3 linked regions of the Callithrix jacchus genome follow. The protein of the gene in region 3 binds, or shares a complex with, the protein of the main gene of each other region. Links are inferred from orthologs where the notes say so. Each region holds a gene or a part of one and is shown on either strand. Other genes may lie near its edges.

Region 1 (7,137 bases), on a different chromosome or scaffold from region 3:
ACCAAAGGTTGTGAACCAATGCCCATGCCTGCAACTATTCCAAAGATGAGTACTGTATGGCCCACGTGGTATTTATATGAATTAGTTGCTAACCTTGAAAACATGGGAGACACCATATACAAATCCAAATCTGGGGGCTCAATGGGCTGGAGCTGTGTGGGAGCCAGCCCCTGCAGATGAGGCATGTGCTCAGCAGCTCCTCACCCTGCCCTCTCCATACTCCATACTTAGCCCACTCCACAGCCACCCGACCTTTGCATGCACCTGATTTGTGACCCCTGACACATCTAAGATCTAAGATAGGTTATGGTACTATCTTAGATCTCTGAGTCAGACAACCCAGTTCCATGTTCTGGTTCCTCCTCTTACTGGCTGAGGGACCTTGGACAGTTGCTTTTAATTCCAGAGTCCCAGTTTACTGATCTCTAAAATGGTGATAATAGCTGACTCAAAAATTGTTTTGAGGCCGGGTGTGGTGGTTCAAGCCTGTAATCCCAGCACTTTGGGAGGCTGAGGCGGGTGGATCACGAGGTCAAGAGATAGAGACCATCCTGGTCAACATGGTGAAACCCCGTCTCTACTAAAAAATACAAAAAATTAGCTGGGCATGGTGGTGCGTGCCTGTAATCCCAGCTACTCGGGAGGCTGAGGCAGGAGAATTGCCTGAACCCGGGAAGTGGAGGTTGCGGTGAGCCGAGATCGTGCCATTGCACTCCAGCCTGGGTAACAAGAGCAAAACTCCATCTCAAAAAAAAAAAAAAAAATTGTTTTGAGTAATAAATGGGACATGTGAACATGCTTTTTTAGGTGTCTAATTCTATGAAATGTAATTGTCACAAATAAGTAAATGATTATTGAATGAGTGAGCCAAAGATTCAATTGGAACAAGAGCTATTTTCCCCTTCCAGTTCAATCTAGAGGCCTCCTAGTACCCTGGACATAAAATTTTGATACTGCAATACATGGAAAGCTTACTATGTACCAGGTGCTACATTTTACACATATGGTCTCATTTAATGCTCAACCACTCTGAAAGACATGTATTAACTACCAAATCCTCATTTCACAGCTGAGGAAACTGAGGCTTAGTTGAGAATTCAGTGACATGCCTAAGTAGGCGGTGGAACCTGGTTTCACACACAGGTTGTCGGCCTCCACAGCTGACTGAGCTCAACAACCACGCTGATCTGTGTGCACAGCACAGCTACTTTGTATGCTGGCCACCCTGAGTATAATTAAATCCCAGGGGAAGCAGGTATAATTTCCATTTTTAGCAATCTGAGCTCCTTCTGGACTGGGTGTGCACTCACTGGTGAGAGTACACACTAAGTCTACTGCCTAGAGATCACAGCCACTCTGGGTAGAACATGCCAACAAACCAAAGATTGTTTAGAAAAGTAGAAAAAAAAAGAAGGCATGTCTTGAATATCTAAACAACTAAGAACTATGTCATCAGTTACCAATGTAAATAATTCCACCTCTTCATATGACTACAGTCCTTTCGATTAGAAAGGCATAAACAATATAAGAGGAATCTGGAGGACTTAGGCCATGCAAGTGATGGAAAACAGGTTGAAGGAATCATGACTTTAAGCCTAAGAAACAGACGCTAAGGAAAGTACTGATGTCTATTTGAGAAGTGGAATTATACCATGATTAACTGTCCTATATTCCGGGAAAATTCACATGCAGACTTCACTTGCCTCACTTAGGGTTTGAACTAGATAGAGGTAAGGACTTTATGAACATCCTGAGATATAGAAATGAGTGTCCAAGTTCCTACAAGAGACTAAGAGACATCCTAGACACCCAAAAATACAGAAAATGCCTGTAGCGCTCAGAGATGAACCTGGGGCCTTCTAGCTCCAAAGCACCTGAGCAACCTGCTGTGTTCTAGGGGTTCCAAAGATATAAACACACTGCTAGCACCCCTTTCCCACCAGGTGCTAAGTTCTCAACATGACTCCAGATCCTTCAGCCTCTGGAAGGAAAGCAGAAAAGCCTATACTCACATTCTTAAGGAACTCCTCAGCCACAATGCGGGCACGGGCATTGACTGACAGCTTCATTTCACTGATCTCCTTGTCAATCTCCTCCATGAAGTGGATCACAAAGTCCACCAACTTGTGTTTGTACATCTGCTCTGTGTGGAAGTTGGTGATCAGAAAGCTGATGTCATACCCCTAGGAAAGAAGACAGCAGGGAGGAAGAAGGGAAGGAACAGGAGAGAATTAGCACCCCAGGGGAAGTGAGCTGGTCATGTCCTCCACTCATTCACATGTTTCTCACTGGCTGTGATCTTCTCCCAAGCTACACACCCTTCCAGTCAGCAGCCCACCTGCTCTGGGGAAGGGCGTGTAGGTTGGATCCAAGCAACTCAATCCAGTTGAGAATTCTGTGTGTATCAGACATCTCTGGAAGACTATCTGTGGCACAAACAACTCTACATTCAGAATGAGTCAAGGCACTTGAAGTCTTGTTACAGAAGAATCTAATCAAACAACAGGGAACATTTAGTCCAGAAAAGAGATGATGTGGAAGATGAGTGGGATTAAGGTATTTTTTCTGCTGGAGGCGTATGTGAGGAAGAGGAATTTTATTTACTCCAGGTGGCCAAAGAGGTTAGATCTAGGACCGGGAGAGAAAAATTTGGCTCAGGATGAGGAAGAACTTGGCCAACATGCCTGATGTATCTGATGATGGCATATCCTGCTGTGTGGTAGTTGTGGGGATGCTTTAAGTTAAGTTGGTAAGGAGTCTGTGGAGGAGGGTCAAGTACAAAGTCAGGCAACAACTGACCCAGTGTTAACTGTGGCTTTAAGAGACTATGATTCACTTTAGGAGGCCGAGATGGGTGGATCACCTGAGGTCACGAGACCAGCCTGACCAACATGATGAAACCCCATCTCTACTAAAATTACAAAATTAACCAGGCACGGTAGCACATGGTAGCTACTCAGGAGGCTGAGGCAGGAGAAATGGTTTGAACCTGGGAGGCAGAGGTTTCAGTGAGTCGAGATCACATCATTGTACTCCAGCCTGGGCAACAAGAGCAAAACTCCAACGACAATAACAACAACAAAATCACTGTGCTCTTTCTGCTGCTAGACTGTAGGCTCTGGGAATAAGCAATGTATCTTATATTTTTTGCCTTTTCCTTTTTCTTTTTTTAGATGGAGTCTCACTCTGTCACCCAGGCTGCGTGCAGTGGCACAATCTCGGCTCACTGTAACTTCTGCTTCCCGGGTTGAAGCAATTCTCTGCCTCAGCCTCCCGAGTAGCTGGAATTACAGGTGCCCGCCATCACACTGGGCTTATTTTTATATTTTTAGTATAGATGGGATGGCACCATCTTGGCCAGGCTGGTCTTGAACTCCTGACCTCATGATCCACCCTCCTCGGCCTCCCAAAGTGTTGGGATTACAGGCATGAGCCACCACTCCTGGTCCTTTTTTGCCTTTTGTATGGCTGAGGTAGACCCAACTTTTCCTAGGCTTCTGATCCTCTTGGTTCCCACTCCAGCTGAGATGAAGGCCAACTCTCAGTTCAGGCGGTGGTGCCAAACAGCTGGAAGAGCAGCAATCCAGGTTCTAGAAACAATTCCAGGCCATTCTGTAGCAGGATCCTGGGTATTGCAAATTCATGGGTCACAAGGTCTCACCTCCACAGGCTTTCTTCGAAGGATGAAGAAGTTTTCTGCTCGCATCATCATGAAGCGCATGAATTTGTGGCATAAAATCTTCTCAATCTCATCGGCCTGGGAAATAAAAGGGAGAAACATTTCTCTAAAGCCGACACCCAAGCCAAAAATACCCTGTAGCCTGGTCTTCTGACTCCAATTTCTCCAAAGCTCCCAGGAGACAGTGAGGTTTGGTACTCGGAAGGATCACTGAAGTGAGGGACCTGGCTGCCAACTGAAACAAGGGTCTATCTTGGGGCATCTCTTAATGAGGACCCATTCCAGAGAGGTAATTCTGGCAAACAGAGTCTTTTATGGCTTCTTTACGAGTCTACAGCGATACGCCAAGCTGCCCTTCTCATTCCCACTTCACTAGTGTTACATTTCCCAGGGTGTGTCGCAGCACCACCTGGGCTATCAGAGATAACTTTAGGTGGTCTCTGCTTTATAACACTGAACATCCAACAATCTCTGAAGTTTCTCCCTTCTGAACTCTCAACATTTCTTTTTTTTTTTTTTTTGAGATGGAGTCTCCCTCTGTTGCCCAGGCTGGAGTGCAGTGGCACAATCTCAGCCCACTGCAACCTCCACCTCCCAGGTCCAAGTGATTCTTGTGCCTCAACCTCCCAAGTAGCTGGGATTACAGGCACGTGCCACCGTACCCGGCCCTGAACGCTCAACATTTGTAAAGAAAGACTTCTGCAGCTGGTTGCTAGTATGCCTTAACACCTCCCAACACTTGTTAATCTCCCATTCTAACAAAGAAAGCAGGCCCCAGGGTTAGAACTTTCTGTAGAACACAGTATGTAGTCTGCATTTAATAATGCTGTTTTGTTTTTATCCTGTTGACAATTTAGAGTTGCCCACTACTGGCTGGGCATGGTGATTCATGCCTGTAATCCCAGCACTTTGGGAGGCTGAGGCAGGCAGATCTCCTGCGGTCAGGAGATTGAGTCCATCCTGACCAACATGGTGAAACCCCATCTCTACTAAAAATACAAAAATTAGATGGACATGTTGGTGGGCGCCTATAATCCCAGCTACTCAGGAGGCTGAGGCAGGAGAATTGCTTGAACCTGGGAGGCAGAAGTTGCAGTGAGCCAAGATCTTGCCACTGCACTCCAGCCTAGGCAACAAGAGTGAGCCTCCATCTGAATGTGGCACGCTGATCTCTCAGATGGGGACCCCTGGATTGAAAGTGAGGTCCTTATGTTACGTCTCTTACAAGGTGACCTTACCTGTTTCACAGCAATGCTGACCCGGACAGAGTTGATGGAGCCCTCAATCAGAACCTTTTCCTTCTCATTCCTGCTGATGGTCACAGGTTGTAACAGGAGTTCTTTGCTACTCCTGAAAACACAATGTCACAGAGTACTCTGTACTATAGAGGGACACAACAGTCAGAGTGACCCCACAGCAAGTCCTGGAATCACTATGACACCATGGAGTCCAAGGAATAGAAGACTCACAAGCAGAAGTGCTCCAAGATGGGGACCAGTGAGTGTGTTCTTCAGCAGAAAGAGCACAGGCTCTGAAGTCAGAGCGAAAAGGTTTTGAAATCCAGCCTCCTCTGTTACTTTCCTGGGCAAGTTACCCTGTTGGAATCTCAATTTTCTCATCTGTAAAATGACTCTGATTCCTATTTCATTGGCAAGGACTGAGAGAGATCAAAAAAGGGTCAGGTATCTAATAGCGTGCCTGGCACATAGTAGGAGCTTTACAAAGGACAGCTGATTTTAGTAACTACAAGTTAAATATCCCCAATCTGTAAATCTGAAATCCAAAATCTGAAACTGGCTGGGCACAGTAGCTCATCCCTGTAACTCCAGCACTTTGGGAGGCTGAGGCAGGTGGATCACTTGAGGTCAGGGGTTTGAGACCAGCCTGGCCAACATGGTGAAATCCCATCTCTACTAAAAACATAAAAATTAGCCAGGTGTGGTGGCACACCCCTATAACCCCAGCTTCTCAGGAGGCTGAGGCACAAGAATTGCTTGAACTCAGGAGGTGGCAGCTGCAATGAGCCAAGATTACACCACTTTACTCCAGCTTGAGCGACAGAATACGACTCTATCTCAAAAAAAAAAAAATCTGAAAGTTTCTGAGTGCTGACAAGATGCTCAAAGGAGATGCTCACTGGAGCATTTGGATTTGGAATTAGGAATGCTCAACTGGTTAAGTATCTGCAAATATTCCACAATCCAAAATACCTCCGGTCCTAAGCATTTTGCTTAAGGGATACTCAACTTATACAGGCAAATCAATATACCATTTAGAAATGCAGAGAGAATACCTGTCTTAGAAGTAGGGAAAGACTAAAACTGAACACAGTTTGGCTTCCTTTAATTATCAATCCAGAAATGATTATTTTTTTTTGCCTCTAGGGGCGGAGAGTGGCAGTCTATAGGAAATAACACAAAGGGCAGAGAAGATCAAAATCTGTCACACCAAACCCACTGATCCCCTATTCCAGCTCCCAAGAAGCCAAGTAGCACTGAGGGTGTGAAGCTCTTAAGACACCACAGTGAACCGAACAGACTAGGCCTTCAAGACCCCTACGAGTTCAGGTTCCAAGGTAATGTCTCCAAATACCTAGAGATCTGTAACAGTAATTAATTGTGGTGTGGTGTGTCTAAACTGGTATCATTTTCAAAGGCCCACTGGAAATCATGAACATTAAGCAAATATAACATCTTATCAGTTATTTTTAAAATTCAAAATTAAATGTTATCACTTAATGCAGTAACCCAGTTTATCTCAGTTATGTATGTACCAGATTGAATTTTATTTACTTATTTTTTGAGATAAGGTCTCACCCACGCTGGAGTGCACTGTCACAATGTTGGCTCACTGCAACCTCTACCTCCCAGGCTCAAGAGATCCTCCCACCTCAGCCTCCCAAGAAGGTGGGTCTGCAGGCATGCACCACCAAACCTGACTATTTTTGTGTATTTTTTTTGGTGGAGATGGAGTCTTGCCATATTGCCCAGGCTGATCTTGAACTCCAGGACTCAAGCGATCTGCCCACTTTAGCCTCCTAAAGTGCTCAGATTATAGGTGTGAGCCACTGTGCCTGGCCTCTAGATTGAATTTTAAAGGGGGAGAAGATATTTATGGAATGGAAATTAGATAAGAGGAAAATCATTCAAAATATGGAGTATTTGGATTAGGGGGTCAGAGGGTCTAGGCTGGTAGGGAAAAAAAAAATCCCTGATCCTTGCATTAGAAAAGTAGGGAGATAGCATCTTAGACAAATTAACTAATCTGACCATTCTTTAAACTACTAATATTTCAACAATGCCACAGGAGAGACTTCATCAACAGTCCTACTCTGAGAAGTCATACCTTGAGTCAAGCAATCTTGTCTTCTCCCTTGGGTTGTGTCCTGCCAACCCACTGACCCTATTTTCTTTTTCTTTTTTTGAGACAGAGTTTTGCTCTCGCTGCCCAGGCTGGAG
Region 2 (6,392 bases), on a different chromosome or scaffold from region 3:
ATACTCTGGACGCCCAGGAGTATTAGTGTTAAGTTCATAAGGACATTCAAATACCAAGTTAGACAGAAGAATCACCTGTTCACAATTTTGGGATGGCCTACATGTACTGAATTTCCGACTGGGCTCATCTGTCTTCTTAGTACTACCTCATTTGTCAGCTCCTCCTACAGAGCTTCTACCTTTCAGGGCTCTCAGACAGCAGTTCCTTCATCTGTCACTATGAGGACAGGTGGTTCAAAGCAATCCTCAGAACTTCCATGGTTAAAGGCATTTGTTATGTGGTGACTCCTCCTCTGGCTTACAAAACACTTGCCTGGTTCGAGGCTCCTGAATTGTGGTGTCCTGTTCCAGCTACTATTTCTCCAGACTGGCTAGCTGGTTCACAAGGACAGAGCCTGTAACTGTTTCTAACAGTATCTGGGAAAGTAGCCTGGAAGCTAGAGCTGAGAACTATGGGAAATCAGGGCGAAAACAAGGGCTCTCCATTTTCCCTGTCTTGGATGTATTGCTCACTCTAAAATGAAGCTACATCTTATTTACCCTTCGCTCAAAATGAAAAGCTCATGAGTATTCAATTCTGGGCGGACCATCGAGGGCTCCTGGCATCTGCCCACAGCTGAGTCACTTAACTCCTACCCACCATTAGTAACATAATCTGGTTTTTAGGGTGGATGCAGTTGTTTGTCTCCTGCTTCTCCTTTCTAGGGCCCAACTCTGCCAAAGAGAAGTTGCAGCACAGAAGGCAAAGTTGCTCTTTCTAAGTCCCAGAGAGGAGGTTGATGAACTGTTTATTTCAAGGATTCATCCTCTGCCAGGTCTCTCATCAGGACAGGGAGCTATCCCTGCACCTACACAACTGCACTCACTGGGCAGGGACTCCCAAGACTACCCGCTGGCTGTGGAATAGGGTGGCAGCTGCCTGATAGGCCTTCCTCCTGGATGCACAAGCAGCTACCAGCGCCAAAAGTGATGCAGGCAGGCCTAAGGCTATGAGGACGCCTAGCCTTCAGTCTGGTAATCACAGGCTGCCAGGTCAGGCTTTCTTTTCACTGTAACTGGCTGCTGGTATACCTCTTGGCCTCTACGGAACTGCCCATCTACTGGGCCCAGAAAGCAGCTTGAAATTCGTTGCCTCACCCTCCAGGTCATGAAATAGGTACCTGGTGAGAAAAGCACCCCTGTGTAGAGCAGGCAGGGAAAGGGGAAAATGGAGACACCAGGATGGAGACCAGGTTCTGGAGGAGCAGCAAGAAAACATCCTCTCACCTGCCCACCCACCTCGTTGGTCGCTTTGTCCATTTAAGGATCTGCCTAAGAAGCTGCAGAAAATAAACAACGCTGCCATTTCTTTACATGGTATTTGGACACTCCTCTCTGAGCTGCTACAGAGACAGGCCTTTGCTAAAAGTCAGGGGTGACTTAACCTGCTTTTTGCAAATGTCTGAAAACCCTCCCCTACTGCTCAGGCCCTTGGGATCTCTCTCATCCTTTTAAATGGCAGCAGAAACTAACTTGGTAGAAGAGCCCTCAATGCAAGAGAGGGAGTGTAAAGCCCTGGGCACGCCACACCCTCTAAAAGTTTGCCTCAAGAGTGCTGGGCCAGGTGCAGTGGCTCATGTCTGTTATCCCAACACTTTGGGAGTCTGAGGTAGGAGGATCACCTGAGCCCAGGAGTTCGAGACTAGCCTGGACAACATGGCGAAATTCCGTCTCTACAAATTTCAAAAATTAGCCAGCTATGATGGTGCATACGTGTGGTCTCAGCTACTTGGGGGGGCTGGGGTGAAAGATTACTTGCACCCCAGTGGTTCACCACTGCACTGCAGCCTGGGGATCAGAGTGAGACTCTGTCTTAAAAAAAAAAAAAGAATACTGGGCTGGGCGTGCTGGCTCACGCCTGTAATCCCAGCACTTTGGGAGGCCAAGGTCGGTGGATCATGAGGTCAAGAGTTTGAGACCAGCTTGGCCAAAATGGTGAAACTCCATCTCTACTAAAAATACAAAAAAGTTAGCTTGGCATAGTGGCAAGTGCCTGTAGTCCCAGCTACTTGGGAAGCTGAGGCAAGACAACCCAGGAGGCAGAGGCTGCAGCGAACTAAAATCATGCCTTTGCACTCCAGCCAGTATACCAAGAGCAAAACTTCATCTCAAAAAAGTACTGGGCTGTTGGCAAACACATTGGTTGTTAGGGAGGCTTATGACTTCAAGACTTTTAGTTCAACTGGTACAAAGGACAGCACATGGGCCAGGTGCGGTGGCTCATGCCTATAATCCCAGCACTTTGGGAAGCCAAGGCAGGCAGATTGCCTGAGCTCAGGAGTTCGAGACCAGCCTGGGCAACATGGTGAAACCATCTCTACTAAAATACAAAGTATTAGCTGGGTGTGGCTGTGTATACCTGTAATCCCAGCTACTTGGGATGCTGAGGCAGGAGAACTGCTTGAACCCAGAGGCAGAGGTTGCAGTGAGCTGAGATAGCACCACTGTACTCTAGCCTGGGCAACAGAGCGCTTAGTGGGGTGGTTTCAGCCCTATTTACCCAATTAAAGGTCCCTAAGCAACTTATTCCATTTCTCCAGAAAGACCACAAGAAGGACAAGACTGACCTCAGAACTCAGGCCCAAAAGTAACAGTTTCTTTGTAAACTTTATTTCCTAGCTGTCATTCTCAGAGCTCACAAAAATGTGGAAACAAGGAAACCCACCCTGGCCCATATGGCAGCAAAAACCTGGAATCCCACCTTTGGTCTATCTGCTTAGCCCTGCTGGCCTCACATGTAGCCAGTGCCCGGACACGTGGAGGACCAGGCCACCAGCATCCACTGCTTCCTTCTCGGTGGCTCAGGAGAAGACGGTCCTGCTGGGGTACTGGCTAACTTACGTGATTGTTTTCATTTCTTTTTTCTCGGCATCTGGGCGTGCGCGGTTCAGCACCTTGAGGAAGTCAGATGTTTTTGCCCGCATACGTGTGTGAATATAGGCCTGGGAACAAACACAAAAGAAGGTACTGAAGCGCAGTCATGGTCTAGAAAGACAGCTTTGCTTTCATCAGGGGCATCTGAGAACAGACACCTTGGGAATACTCCCCTGCAGGGAAGCAGGAAGGTGAGCAATTCTGGAAACATAGTCATCTCTGCTATGGGGAGGGGAGGGGGACAGTGGCTTGATGAAGAGAGGCCATGATTTCTTGAAGCTTCTAGAACTATCTACCTAAGAGTCAATATTCACAGCCTAGACTAACGGAATGACTTTTTGTTATGAGTTCTGGTGGAGGGAAAGACCCAGGGCACAGACGCTGAGATGCTGCCCGCCCTCACCTTAGAGCACTTGATGTGGTAGTGCAGGTAGTCCCGGAATGTGTGGATCAGGTTGATGGTGTTGTCTCGAGCACTGGCATTGGTGTGGCGAGGGAATAGCACTGAAGGTGGAGAACACAAGGCTTCAGAACACAAATGTCAAAGGGTGAGGAGGAACAACAGCCTAGTGAACTTCGCTCTCTCTCTGAAGTACACTCCACTCATGTCAGTATTATCAGGCTGTGTCAGGGTTGTTTTTTTGAGGCACGGAAGGATACACAGCATGACCAGGAGAGGTGTCAATGAGTGTGAACAGAGGAGCCCATGGAAAAACAGGGCTTGACCCTGAGCCTCCATTCTAGGTCTGGATTCTGCAGCTATGAATTTTGAAATCCATTCCTGGTCTCCCGCACATGTACTATAGCTCCTGCCTCTGCAGTTGGGCATACTCCAGAATCACACTAACTGGCTATAACAGTTTACCTTAAGGAATCAGGATTAGGAAATGCAGCTGCCCGTCTTAGGTCCGTGGTGCTGAAATAGAGTAAACCTTCACAGAAAATAAGATGCCAGAGTATTTCCCATAGTCTCACTGTGAAAACCAGCACCTGAACCCTCTTGATAGGCCAGGTAGGAAGAGCTGCTCTGACTGGACCTGAGTGAAGTCCACCCTGTGGCACCAGCCACCTAAAGACCTGTGTGAGGCTGGACTCGGTGGCTCATGCCTGTAATCCCAGCACTTTGGGAGGCTGACGCGGGGAAATCATCTGAGGTCAGGAGTCCAAGACCAGCCTGGGGAACATGGTGAAACCCCATATCTACTAAAAATAAAAAAATTATCCAGGGATGATGGTGTCTCCCCGTAATCCCAGCTACTCAGGAGGCTGAGGCGAGAGAATTGCCTGAATCCGGGAGGCAGAGGTTGCAGTGAGTGAGTTGAGATCGCATCACTGCACTCCAGCCTGGGTGACAGTGCAAGACTCCATCTCACAAAAGAAAAAGAAAAAAGACCTGTGTGGTCATTACTCGGTCCTTTGCACTGGAGCAGACCTGCATGCCCCTCCTGCCCTGGTTTTTTGGAATCTTCTTTATCTGCTGAACTTCCCCTACTCACTATCTGCAAAACCCTGAGGTTCTCTGATGTTTTTGTTGAAATGAAAAGGAATGCCTCCTAGGGATGTATGGATTTTCTGTGTCAACTTGCCCTGACCTGAAAGTAAATGAATACCACAATAGAAGATAACTGTATTTCAAAGAATCTAAGGTGCTTATGACTATAAGTCTGCCGTAATTTTATGTACGAGAGAAAAATGCTGCCAATCAAACTATGACATGCCATGAGTTGTAAGATGCATCCCAGATTCAAAGATAAAATCTTGAAAAAAAAAATTTATAGCTGGCTAGGCATGGTGGCACACGCCTGTAATCCCAGCACTTTGGGAGGTCGAAGTGGCTGAGATCAGCCTGGCCAACATGGCAAAGCCCCGTTGCTACTAAAAATACAAAAATCAGCCCAGTGTGGTGGCATGTGCCTGTAGTATCAGCTACTAGTGAAGCTGAGGCACGAGAATTGTTTGAGCCTGGGAAGTGGAGGTCGTGGTGAGCCAAGATCACACCACTGCGCTCCAGCCTGGGTGACAGAGAGAAAGAAAAGTGTACAATTCAGATTTAATGAAATTTGGTAGAACAACACATTTGGTTTATTCTTAAAGATAAGCAGGTTCACCTTTACTAGTAAGGTAAATTAAATTACATTTCACAAAAGGAGGCATTCCAGTGGCATCAGGTGCAGTATGAACACAGTGTTAACTCCAAACTGTGAGCTATCATAATCAGCTAGTGCATGAGGCTGGAGCAACTGAAGAAGACTTGAATTTCTTCCATGAAAAAGTGGAGTCTGTGCATCATGGCTGGAGCCTGGGTTTAATAAGCAAAAAAACCTAAGAAGTGCCAAATGACAGAGAACTTCCATCTGGCTGCTTAGGTGGTTCTCTTCTTAACTCCTTTTTGTGAGACAGGGTCTTGCTCTGTCACCCAGGCTGGAGTGCAGTGATGCAATCACAGCTCATTGCAGCCTTGACCTCCTGGGTTCAAGTGATCCTCCCACCTCAGCCTCCAAGTAGCTGTGACTTACAGGCATGCACTACCATGCCTAGCTATCTTTTTTTTTTTGAGACAGTCTCCCTTTGTTGCCCAGGATGGAGTACAGCAGGATGATCTCGGCTCACTGCAACCTCTGCCTCCCAGATTCAAGCAATTCTCACGCCTCAGCTGGCCGAGGGGCTGGGACTACAGGCACATGCCACCATGTCCAACTAATTTTTGTATTTTTAGTAGAGACATGGTTTCACCATGTTAGCCAGATTGGTCTCCAACTCCTGACATCAAGTGATCTGCCTGCCTTGGCCTCCCGAAGTGCTGGGATTACAGGTAGAGATGAGGTTGTGCCATGTTGCCCAGGCTGGTCCCAAACTCCTGGACTCAAGCATTCCACCAGCTTCGGCCTCCCAAAGCACTGGTGTTATAAGCGTGAGCCACTGTGCCTGGCCTATCCCTAACTCTTTTTTTTTTCTTTTTGAGACAAGGTCTCACTCTGTCACCCAGGTTGGAGTGCAATGGTGTGATCTTGGTTCACTGCAACCTCTGCCTCCTGGGTCAAGGGATTCTCCTGCCTCAGCCTCCTGAGGAGCTGGGAATACAGATGCATGCCACCACCACCCCCAGCTAATTTTTTTTTGTATTTTTTGGCAGAGATAGAGTTTCTCCACATTGGCCAGGCTGGTCTTCAACTCCTCACCTCAAGCCCCACAGTGTTAGGGTTATTATAGGCGTGAGCCGCCATACCCATCCTCCTTAACTCTTGATATCAGAATTCAGTCTTATTTTTCTTCAAGATTTAAGAAAAATGGGGAAAAAAAAAAAAAAAAGGAAATGATTACTGTACAAAAATAGCAGATGGCCTGCTCTGTAATTAATACCCGGTGACATCCCTCCTTTAGACACAGCAATGGCAACAGGAACAACTTGGTAGGCCTGCTTCTGCCTACCTTAAAATGTTAACTAAGGTTCTGTGCAGATTTAGGCATTTTGCAGTGTG
Region 3 (7,841 bases):
CCTCCCAAAGTGCTGGGATTACAGGCATGAGCTATCATGCCTGGCCAGAATGTTTAGATTTTAGACTTCAGAACCCATGGATGGAGGTTAGAATTACAGGGTTCTAGGCCGGGCTTGGTGGCTCACACCTGTAATCCCAGCACTTTGGTAGGCCAAGGCGGGTGAATCACAAGGTCAGGAATTCGAGACCAGCCTGGCCAACATGGTGAAACCCGGTCTCTATTAAAAATTTAAAAATTAGCTGGGCCTGGTATCGAGTGCCTGTTTCTCATTGTGGTCTTCATTACAGTAGCCTGTAATCCCAGCTACTTGGGAGGCCAAGGCAGGAGAATCATTTGAACCGGGAGGTGGAGGTTGCAGTGAGCTGAGATCGCACTGCCAAGATCACACCACTGCACTCCAGCCCAAGCGACAGTGCGAGACTCCGTCTCAAAAAAAAAAAAAAAAAAAGAATTACAGGGTTCTGGGAGGTAGGGTGAGAATTTTCCATTTGCCCCCTAGAGTATGTGTTGGTGGGGCTTTGTGGAGGGACAGCGTTGCATAAGGTGCTCCTGGCCACTGAAACATGTCGGGAATGTCTGGGGCCTGGGGCCATAGCTGCAGCAGAAATCGTCTCCTGCACCTCGGCCCTTCCTGGGTCCCTTCTTTGTTGCTCAGAACATTTTCTGTGGCCCTTCAGACCTAAAGGTCTAGGGTTCTGGCACATGTGTTGGGAGTAGGGGGTTGCTTTGTTCTAACCCCTGCCCTTCTCCTCCCACCCCTCAGCAAAAGATGATGCCACACTGTCGGGAAAAAGAATGCAGTCACTCTCCCTGAATAAGTAAATGCAAGATGCCGAGGACCTGGGCCACGCTGCCGGGACCTCTGCTGTGTCTCACCTACCCTGTGCCCTGGCACCGCTGCAACAGCCCCTCACGGCCAGGAGTCCCCCACAGCCTGGGGCCTCCTCTTCATCTTGGCACAGCAATTGTTTGGGGAGATGGGGGGGCTGGGGGAGGGGCAAGCTGCTATCTTTGAGACAGAAAGATGCAGGACAGCATTTCGTATGTAACCATTTGAATGTTTTCGCTGTTTTTAGAATTCAGAGCCCTTGTTGGGGGGTGCCTGGGAGATGGGGTATGAAGAGCTTTCCTTTGTCTGGTAGATAGCACGGACGGGGGTGGTCATGCCAGGAGGCATCTGCTGATGGGTTTGCTACAACCAGCCCCGGACTGTGTTGCCTGGGTGCTCATTCAAAGAGGGGCTGTCATCTGGGAGCCTGTGCCACTGGGTCCTTAAGGGTCATGGCTTGTCTGTCCTGTCTGCCCTCTCCACCCAGTTCCTACCCACCTGGCCAGGGCCAGTGCCCATTTTAACCCTACCCATTGATCATTTCAAGAAACCTGTTTACTGTGCAGCACCCAGGCAAAACACGCTCCACAAATTCAACTTGTATATTTGGCAGATTAAACTTGACATTATCGTAATCTTTGTTTTGTAATCCATCCTTTGGCTCCTGTGCCCAAGCCATTTTTATGCAGCAGGATATGGTGTCATGCTAAGGCACATGCACCTGGCAAGGTTCAGGACAGGTATTTACCTGAGGCATGACATTTGTCAGGCAGCACTGAGCACGGTGCAGGGACTGGACCCCAGGATCAGGGCTGGGAGAGACCTTAGCTGCCACAGCCTGCCCCTGCCTTCCTTAGCCAAGTCGGGATCTTGGGCCTCAGCAGCCAGAGACCCTTCCAGGCCACAGCAGGCTGAAGCAGCACCAGGATCCCGGCCTGGCCTGCAGGTGTCCCCTGGGGGTAATAGCCTCAGGAGTTCTGTACCAGAGGAAGCCACCCAAGAGCTGGTACCCAGCACTGGCAGCACTTCTCTCAATCCTCTGTGACGGAGACTGATAGTGGGGAAACTGAGGTTTAGGAGTGGCCTGCCTGTGGATTCAGGCCAGTGAAAGGTGACCCCATAGCACCTGTCTGCCCCTGTACCCTGTGAACAGCAGTATTTTGTGTGCATGGTTCCAAGGGGCGAGGGGCTCTATTGATGTAACTGGGTGCCAGGTAGGAGTAGAGCTACTCTTTCTCGTTTTGGGCAGCCCCCCACCTTAAGGTAGGGCAAGAGGAGGACTGTCTTAGGCACACAGAGGAAACTTCACTAAACATGGCCTCAGGCCAGCCACGGAACTCCTCCTTCAAGAACGTGTCACAAGACACCTACCTTATGACTACCGTCTCAGAGCCAAAATTATTTAGTATAGAGCCCTCCCAGCAACCCCCACCACACTTGTGTGCTTGACCGTGTTGGAGTCGACAGCACCAGGAGCCCTGGGGGATCCCACAGCTGTGAGTATCTGCCTCACCCTGACCTCCAAGCCCTTGGCCTGCTGAAGAAAACTTCCAATGCTGACCCCCAAGGAGCAGGAATCACCTCAAAGGTATTACCAAAGCCACCTCCTCTGCCCTGGAAATCTTGTAGCTGCTGCCCAGGTTCAAGTGTACAGCCATGAAAATGAGATGGAGGAAGGCGCAAGAAGGTGAGGGCTGTGGTAAGGTCCCTGATGCCCCTGTGGCTCTGAGACAGGGTAGTCAATAAGATCCACAATTGCTTTGTTTTTTGACACAGTTGCATTTTATTACCTCCACATTTTGAAGCAGTTCATGACCAGCACAGTGCTTTGGGGGAATTTTTTTTTTCCAATAAATGAAAGCATTTCTTTAAGAAAAAGGCACATATTCCTTGAATAGGTAAGAAAAGCTTCCCATCTGTCCCCTCCCTTTTTGAGGGAGCAGCCCCTGTGGGAACGCATACCAGTACCCCAGAAACATTCAGCAAAGCAACCAGTAGCCTCCCTGACCCTTCACCCTGCTTCCCCAGCAGCTGGGATGAAGACATTCCGCACAGGTCATTTGATCTTGAGGTCCTTCAAGGCTGACTCCAAGCTCTGCAGGGAGGCAGAAAGGACAGGCTGGTTCTCAATTGTCCTACAGGCACTCCCCACCCCAGGGACCTGATCACACATCAGCCCCAGAACAGCAGAGGGCAGAGAACCTGGACTTTGAGTCTGTCAGACATGGGTTTGAATCTCGGCCCTGAAGATGGGTGCCCCAGTGAGCACCAAGGCCCAGATGTAAAGAGGCCGCCTCCACCTCTCATCCCCATGCAGTGCCTTCTCTGCAGGAATGAAGGATGGGGGTCATCTCCAGGGAGGGAGGATGGGGGGAAAGAGCTGACCTGGGGCATGGCAGGAAGCCAGGAGGGGGAAGCCTCACCTTCACATCCCAGATACTCATGCCACCGTCCATGCCAGTGGTGCAAAACTGTGAGCACTTGGCCTTGCCCCCGCTGAGCACCGAGATCTGGCTGCAAAGAGGAAGAGGAGCTTATGAATCCAACCTGTGCACCAGGCTAAGGCCCACCCTGTCCACCAGGAGCTTCCAGACTTCTAGGGGAGCGGGCTCCAGTGAGAAGTGCCGAGAGGAGGTGTGACAGCCAGGGACAGCCTGGGCAGTAAAGTGGGCTTAGGAGTCAGGTCTGCTTTGGAGACGAGCAGTGGTGTGCGGGGTGCAGGCAAATGGGACAGGACACTCAAAGTCCTGGGAGGCAGGAAGGATGTGTCTATGGAGTATACAGTGCCAGCAACACAGGTGGACAGGACAAAAGAGATGGGGGTGGGAGCACCCAGGGGCTAACAGCCAGGCAAAGGTGTTTCGTCTGAGGAAGCCATCTGATCTGGCGGCCAGAGGTGGGTTTACAGGCTGAAGGGCTTGACCAAAGTCTTGCCATACAGCTTCCTCTGATTTGCTTCCGAGTGGACACACGTGGCTTGCAGCTCTTGTGCTTTGGAGAGCCTCTTTCCCGCCCCCCCGCCCACCCTAGAGCCTTGGAAGGCTGCAGGAGACTCTCAGCTTCACCCCCACCTCGCTGGGTTCTAGCAATAGACTTGTCGCAGCTGTGACCCCGTCCAGGAAGGCCACCCTCCCCACCCCCGTCACTGCCTGGCCAGCCCTACTACAGATCCCACCCAGCCATGTCCCAGAAATGCAAAGCTAGGCTGCTTGGCCCCTATCGGATACTATTTTTGTTCAACCTGAAGAGGTCGACCCCACCTTTCATGTCGGGTCCCAATGCGTCCCTCTTGGGTCCACTAGCCCCAGTGCTGCTAGGGTTAGATGGAGACGGTCCCGCCCACAACTTCTTCTGCTGCGAGGCCACGCCCCATCTATTGGCTCCCACCCTATGCAGTTATCGGCCTCGCCCCTCACCCCACGCCTACCCCCCCAGCAGCAGTGAGAAGCCACGCCTACCCTCGGGCAAATCAAGGCCCCGCCCCCGCCCTCACCTGACGCTATTCTTGTGCAGCGAGTCCAGGCCCGAGCCTGCGGCCGTGCTGCCCTCGGAGTTCGCCTTCTTGTCAAGGTTCTGGAAGCGCTCGCGGGCCGTCAAGCCACGCTGTGAGCTCTGCTTGGGCACATCCAGCCGCCCGCCGAAGCTCAGCGTCCCCGCAGCGGCGTCGTAGGTGAACAGCACCGGGAAGCAGTCATGGCCCTGCGAGGGGGCGGGGGTGCCATTGGAGCGCCGCCGAGGGAAAACCGAGGCCGGAGGGGAGGCCAAGAGGACGTCTGGCGGCTCCGGAGGCCCTAATGGCAGGTGTATCAACACCGGAGGCGATGCTGCAGGCTGCCCCCTCCCTCAGCAAGGCCAGCGTTGGGACTCCTGGGGACCCAGGCGCCTTCTGTCCGGCCTGGGTAGTTACACCTGCTCTAAGGGAGATCCCTGCAGCTGGTTGCTCTTTAAGGCAAAAATCAGGCCTAACCTGCCCCTGGCACCCCCATATGTTTGCCGAGGGGTGAAAAGGGACTTAATAGATGTGGGGAGAGGAGAGGGAGAGCAGCGCCCTTCCCGGACACCTGGAGGAACTGCATGCCCTGAACTCCTGCCTTTGCATTAGGCGTGGCCTTGCCATTGCACTAGCCAATAAAATATGGGCAGAAATGTTAGGACCCAGGGCATTATCCCCCAGGTTCCAGCTGCCTCATGGCATCTGGGGCAGCATGCTGGGGACAGCCTCCATCAGAGCCCCTCACAACACCCACACTGGACATATAATGTGAGCAAGAAGTAAATCTCTTTTTTTTTTTTTTGGCGGGGAGGGGGGTGGAGGGGGATGGAATCTCTGTGGCCCAGGCTGGAGTGCAGTGGCAGGATCTTGGCTCACTACAACCCCTGCCTCTGGGTTCAGGCAGTTCTCCTGCCTTAGCCTCCCCCGTAGCTGGCTGGGGTTACAAGTGTCCGCCACCATGCCTGGCTAATTTTTGTATATTTATTAGAGATAGGGTTTTGCTTTGTTGGCCAGGCTGGTCTTGAACTCCTGACCTCAAGTGATCTGCCCTCCTCAGCCTCCAAAAATGCTAGGATTACAGGCATGAGCCACCAAGCCTGGATTTTTTTTTTTTTTTGAGACAGATTCTCTGTTGCCCAGGCTGAAGTGCAGTGGCATGAACATAGCTCACTTCAGAAGCCTCAACCTCCCAGGCTCAAGTGATCCACCTGCCTCAGTCTCCTAAGTAACTGGGATTATGAGATTACAGGTACACCACCACACCCAGCTAATTTCTTAACTTTTTGCAGAGACAAGGGTCTCACGGTGTTGTCTCAAACTCATGGCCTCATAAGGTGGAAGTGATACTTCCACCTTAACCTGGGATTTTAAGCATGAGCCACCATACCTGGCCAAATCTTTTTTTGTTTTTTTTTTTTTTTTGAGATGGAGTTTCACTCTTGTTACCCAGGCTGGAGTGCAATGGCGCGATCTCGGCTCACCACAACCTCCGCCTCCTGGGTTCAGGCAATTCTCCTGCCTCAGCCTCCTGAGTAGCTGGGATTATAGGCACACACCACCATGCCCACCTAATTTTTTGTATTTTTAGTAGAGACGGGGTTTCACCATGTTGACCAGGATGGTCTGGATCTCTTGACCTTGTGATCCACCTGCCTCGACCTCCCAAAGTGCTGGGATTACAGGCTTGAGCCACCGCGCCCGGCATCTTTTTTTTTTTTTAAGATGGGGTTTCACCGTGTTGGTCAGGCTGGTCTTGAACTCCCGACCTCAGGTGATCCGCCCGCCTTGGCCTCCAAAGTGCTTGGATTACAGGTGTGAGCCACCACGCTCGGCCCTGGCCAAATCTTTATTCTGTTAAGCAACTGCAGCCAGGGTCTTTCGGTTACTGCAGCATAACCCAAGAATGCAAGGAAGAAAAAAAGGCGGGAGACAGGAGAAAGGAGGGAAGAGATGAGTGAGAGTTGCTGGGCTCTTTGCGAAGCCTACCACAAAGTTCTGACCACACCCCCCCCTCCTTCCCTCCCCATTCCTTACCGCTGCCACCAGGCTGTTGTCTGTGATGAAGGTCAGCGCCAGCAGCGGCAGTGTTTCAGAGGCCAGGGTCGCGACGCTGAGGGGAGAGAGCTGTCAGCCATGCTGTCCCACTCCTCTGCACTCACCTCCTCCCCAGGGATGGCCTCTACTCACGCCATCTTCTTCTCGGCATCAGCCAGGCACAAGGTGCTGTCATGGCTCACCCAGGCCACGCGGCTCCCACTGGCTGAGAAGCAGACGCCATGTACCCAGCCGCAGCTACTGCTGGACTCAAACATCAGCTCCCCAAAGGGCATCTTAGAGCCCCATGGGGTGGGTGCCGGCCGCTCCTCCACCTCCTTGATGTAGGCTGAAAAGATCCTATCAGGAGAGGCAAAAAAGGGTAAAGTGGTGCACACCTGTAGTCTCAGCTACTCAAGAGGCTGAGGCGGGAGGATCACTTGAACCCAGGAGGTTAAGGCTGTAGTGAGCTGTGATTGTACTACTGCATTCCAGTTTGGGCCACAGAGACTGACTCAAAATTTAAAAAAATATATTTTTAAAGGGTTAACAGGTGGCTGGGCGCAGTGGCTCATGCCTGTAATCCCAACACTGTTAGGAGGCTAAGGTGGGAGGATTTCTTGAGGCCGAGAGTTCAAGACCAACCTGGGCAACATAGTGAGACCCCATTGCTACTAAGAATAAAAGCACCTACCCGGGCATAGTGGTTGTGCCTATAGTCCCAGCTACTTTCAAAGTTGAGATAGGAGGATTGCTTGAGACTAGGAGGTCGAGGCTGCAGTGAGCTGTCATTGCCCCACTGTATTCCAGCCTGGGTGACAGAGCAAGACCTTGTCTCAAAAAAAAAATAAAAACAGTGAATGGCAGCTGGAGACTCTGTTTCAGGCCTTAAAACAATGAAGCAGGGTTTGTTTCAGCTTCAGTCATTTATACCTTGGTATGAATAAGCACACCAACTCATTTTCCTTCAGACTGAAGCCAGGAAACTATAGGGGTAGGAAGTTCTCGTGAGTCAGGAGAGAAGGCCCTGGGAAGAACTTTTCTGGCATTAAGTGGTGGCAAGGGCCGAAGTTCAAGACTACCCTGGCCAACACAGCAAGATCCTGTCAGCCAGGGGTGGTGGCTCAAGCCTGTAATCCCAGCACTTTGTGAGGCCGAGGTGGGCGGATCACCCGAGGTCAGGAGTTTGAGACCAGCCTGGCCAACATGGTGAAATCCCATCTGTACTAAAAATACAAAAATCAGCCAGGCATGGTAGTATGCACCTGTAGTCCCAGCTATTCCGGAGGCTGAGGCTGGAGAACCACTTGAACTCAGGAGACAAAGGCTGCAGTGAGTAGAGATGGCACCACCACACCCCAGCCTGGGCTAATGAGCGAAGACTCTGTCTCAAAAAAAAAAAAAAAGCCCATCTAGCTGAGCATGGTAGTCTTGCTTGGGAAGATGAGAGGCAAGAGGATCACTTGAGCCCAGGATTTGGAGG

What was found. Proteins that work in one complex are often made in the same cells at the same time.
Region 1: the proteins of ARPC1B (region 3) and ARPC4 are in contact, whole or in part, in a cryo-EM structure (PDB 6YW6), measured with the Homo sapiens proteins. The link is inferred for Callithrix jacchus from reciprocal best matches to the Homo sapiens genes ARPC1B and ARPC4. Residues at the interface, in NP_005711.1 of Homo sapiens: Glu9, Pro10, Asn28, Gln54, Thr72, Arg74, Asn96, Arg97, Ala98, Arg100, Ser143, Thr144, Cys162, Trp204, His206, Leu245, Pro246, His263, Ala319, Gly320, Lys326, Asn327, Ser328, Met350; in NP_005709.1 of Homo sapiens: Gln17, Cys21, Leu22, Glu23, Asn24, Phe25, Ser26, Ser27, Gln28, Val29, Glu31, Arg32, Glu45, Leu46, Leu48, Glu124, Gln125, Tyr127, Lys128, His129.
Region 2: ARPC1B (region 3) and ARPC2 share a complex: the UniProt entries of both Homo sapiens proteins name them as parts of the arp2/3 complex. The link is inferred for Callithrix jacchus from reciprocal best matches to the Homo sapiens genes ARPC1B and ARPC2.

What each region holds. Positions count from the first base shown.
Region 1 is NC_133516.1:66,961,548-66,968,684, reverse strand, and holds part of ARPC4 (actin-related protein 2/3 complex subunit 4), read right to left. Parts: intron 5,030-7,137; coding exon 4,918-5,029; intron 3,758-4,917; coding exon 3,662-3,757; intron 2,184-3,661; coding exon 2,013-2,183; intron 1-2,012. UniProt on the Homo sapiens protein: Actin-binding component of the Arp2/3 complex, a multiprotein complex that mediates actin polymerization upon stimulation by nucleation-promoting factor (NPF).
Region 2 is NC_133507.1:139,989,866-139,996,257, reverse strand, and holds part of ARPC2 (actin-related protein 2/3 complex subunit 2), read right to left. Parts: intron 3,418-6,392; coding exon 3,317-3,417; intron 2,982-3,316; coding exon 2,881-2,981; intron 1-2,880. UniProt on the Homo sapiens protein: Actin-binding component of the Arp2/3 complex, a multiprotein complex that mediates actin polymerization upon stimulation by nucleation-promoting factor (NPF).
Region 3 is NC_133503.1:14,185,293-14,193,133, forward strand, and holds the end of ARPC1B (actin-related protein 2/3 complex subunit 1B), read right to left. Parts: intron 6,719-7,841; coding exon 6,512-6,718; intron 6,435-6,511; coding exon 6,359-6,434; intron 4,531-6,358; coding exon 4,325-4,530; intron 3,346-4,324; coding exon 3,255-3,345; intron 2,927-3,254; coding exon 2,888-2,926; 3' UTR 2,591-2,887; downstream 1-2,590. Other genes in the region: PDAP1 (28 kDa heat- and acid-stable phosphoprotein), read left to right, coding at 766-824. UniProt on the Homo sapiens protein: Component of the Arp2/3 complex, a multiprotein complex that mediates actin polymerization upon stimulation by nucleation-promoting factor (NPF).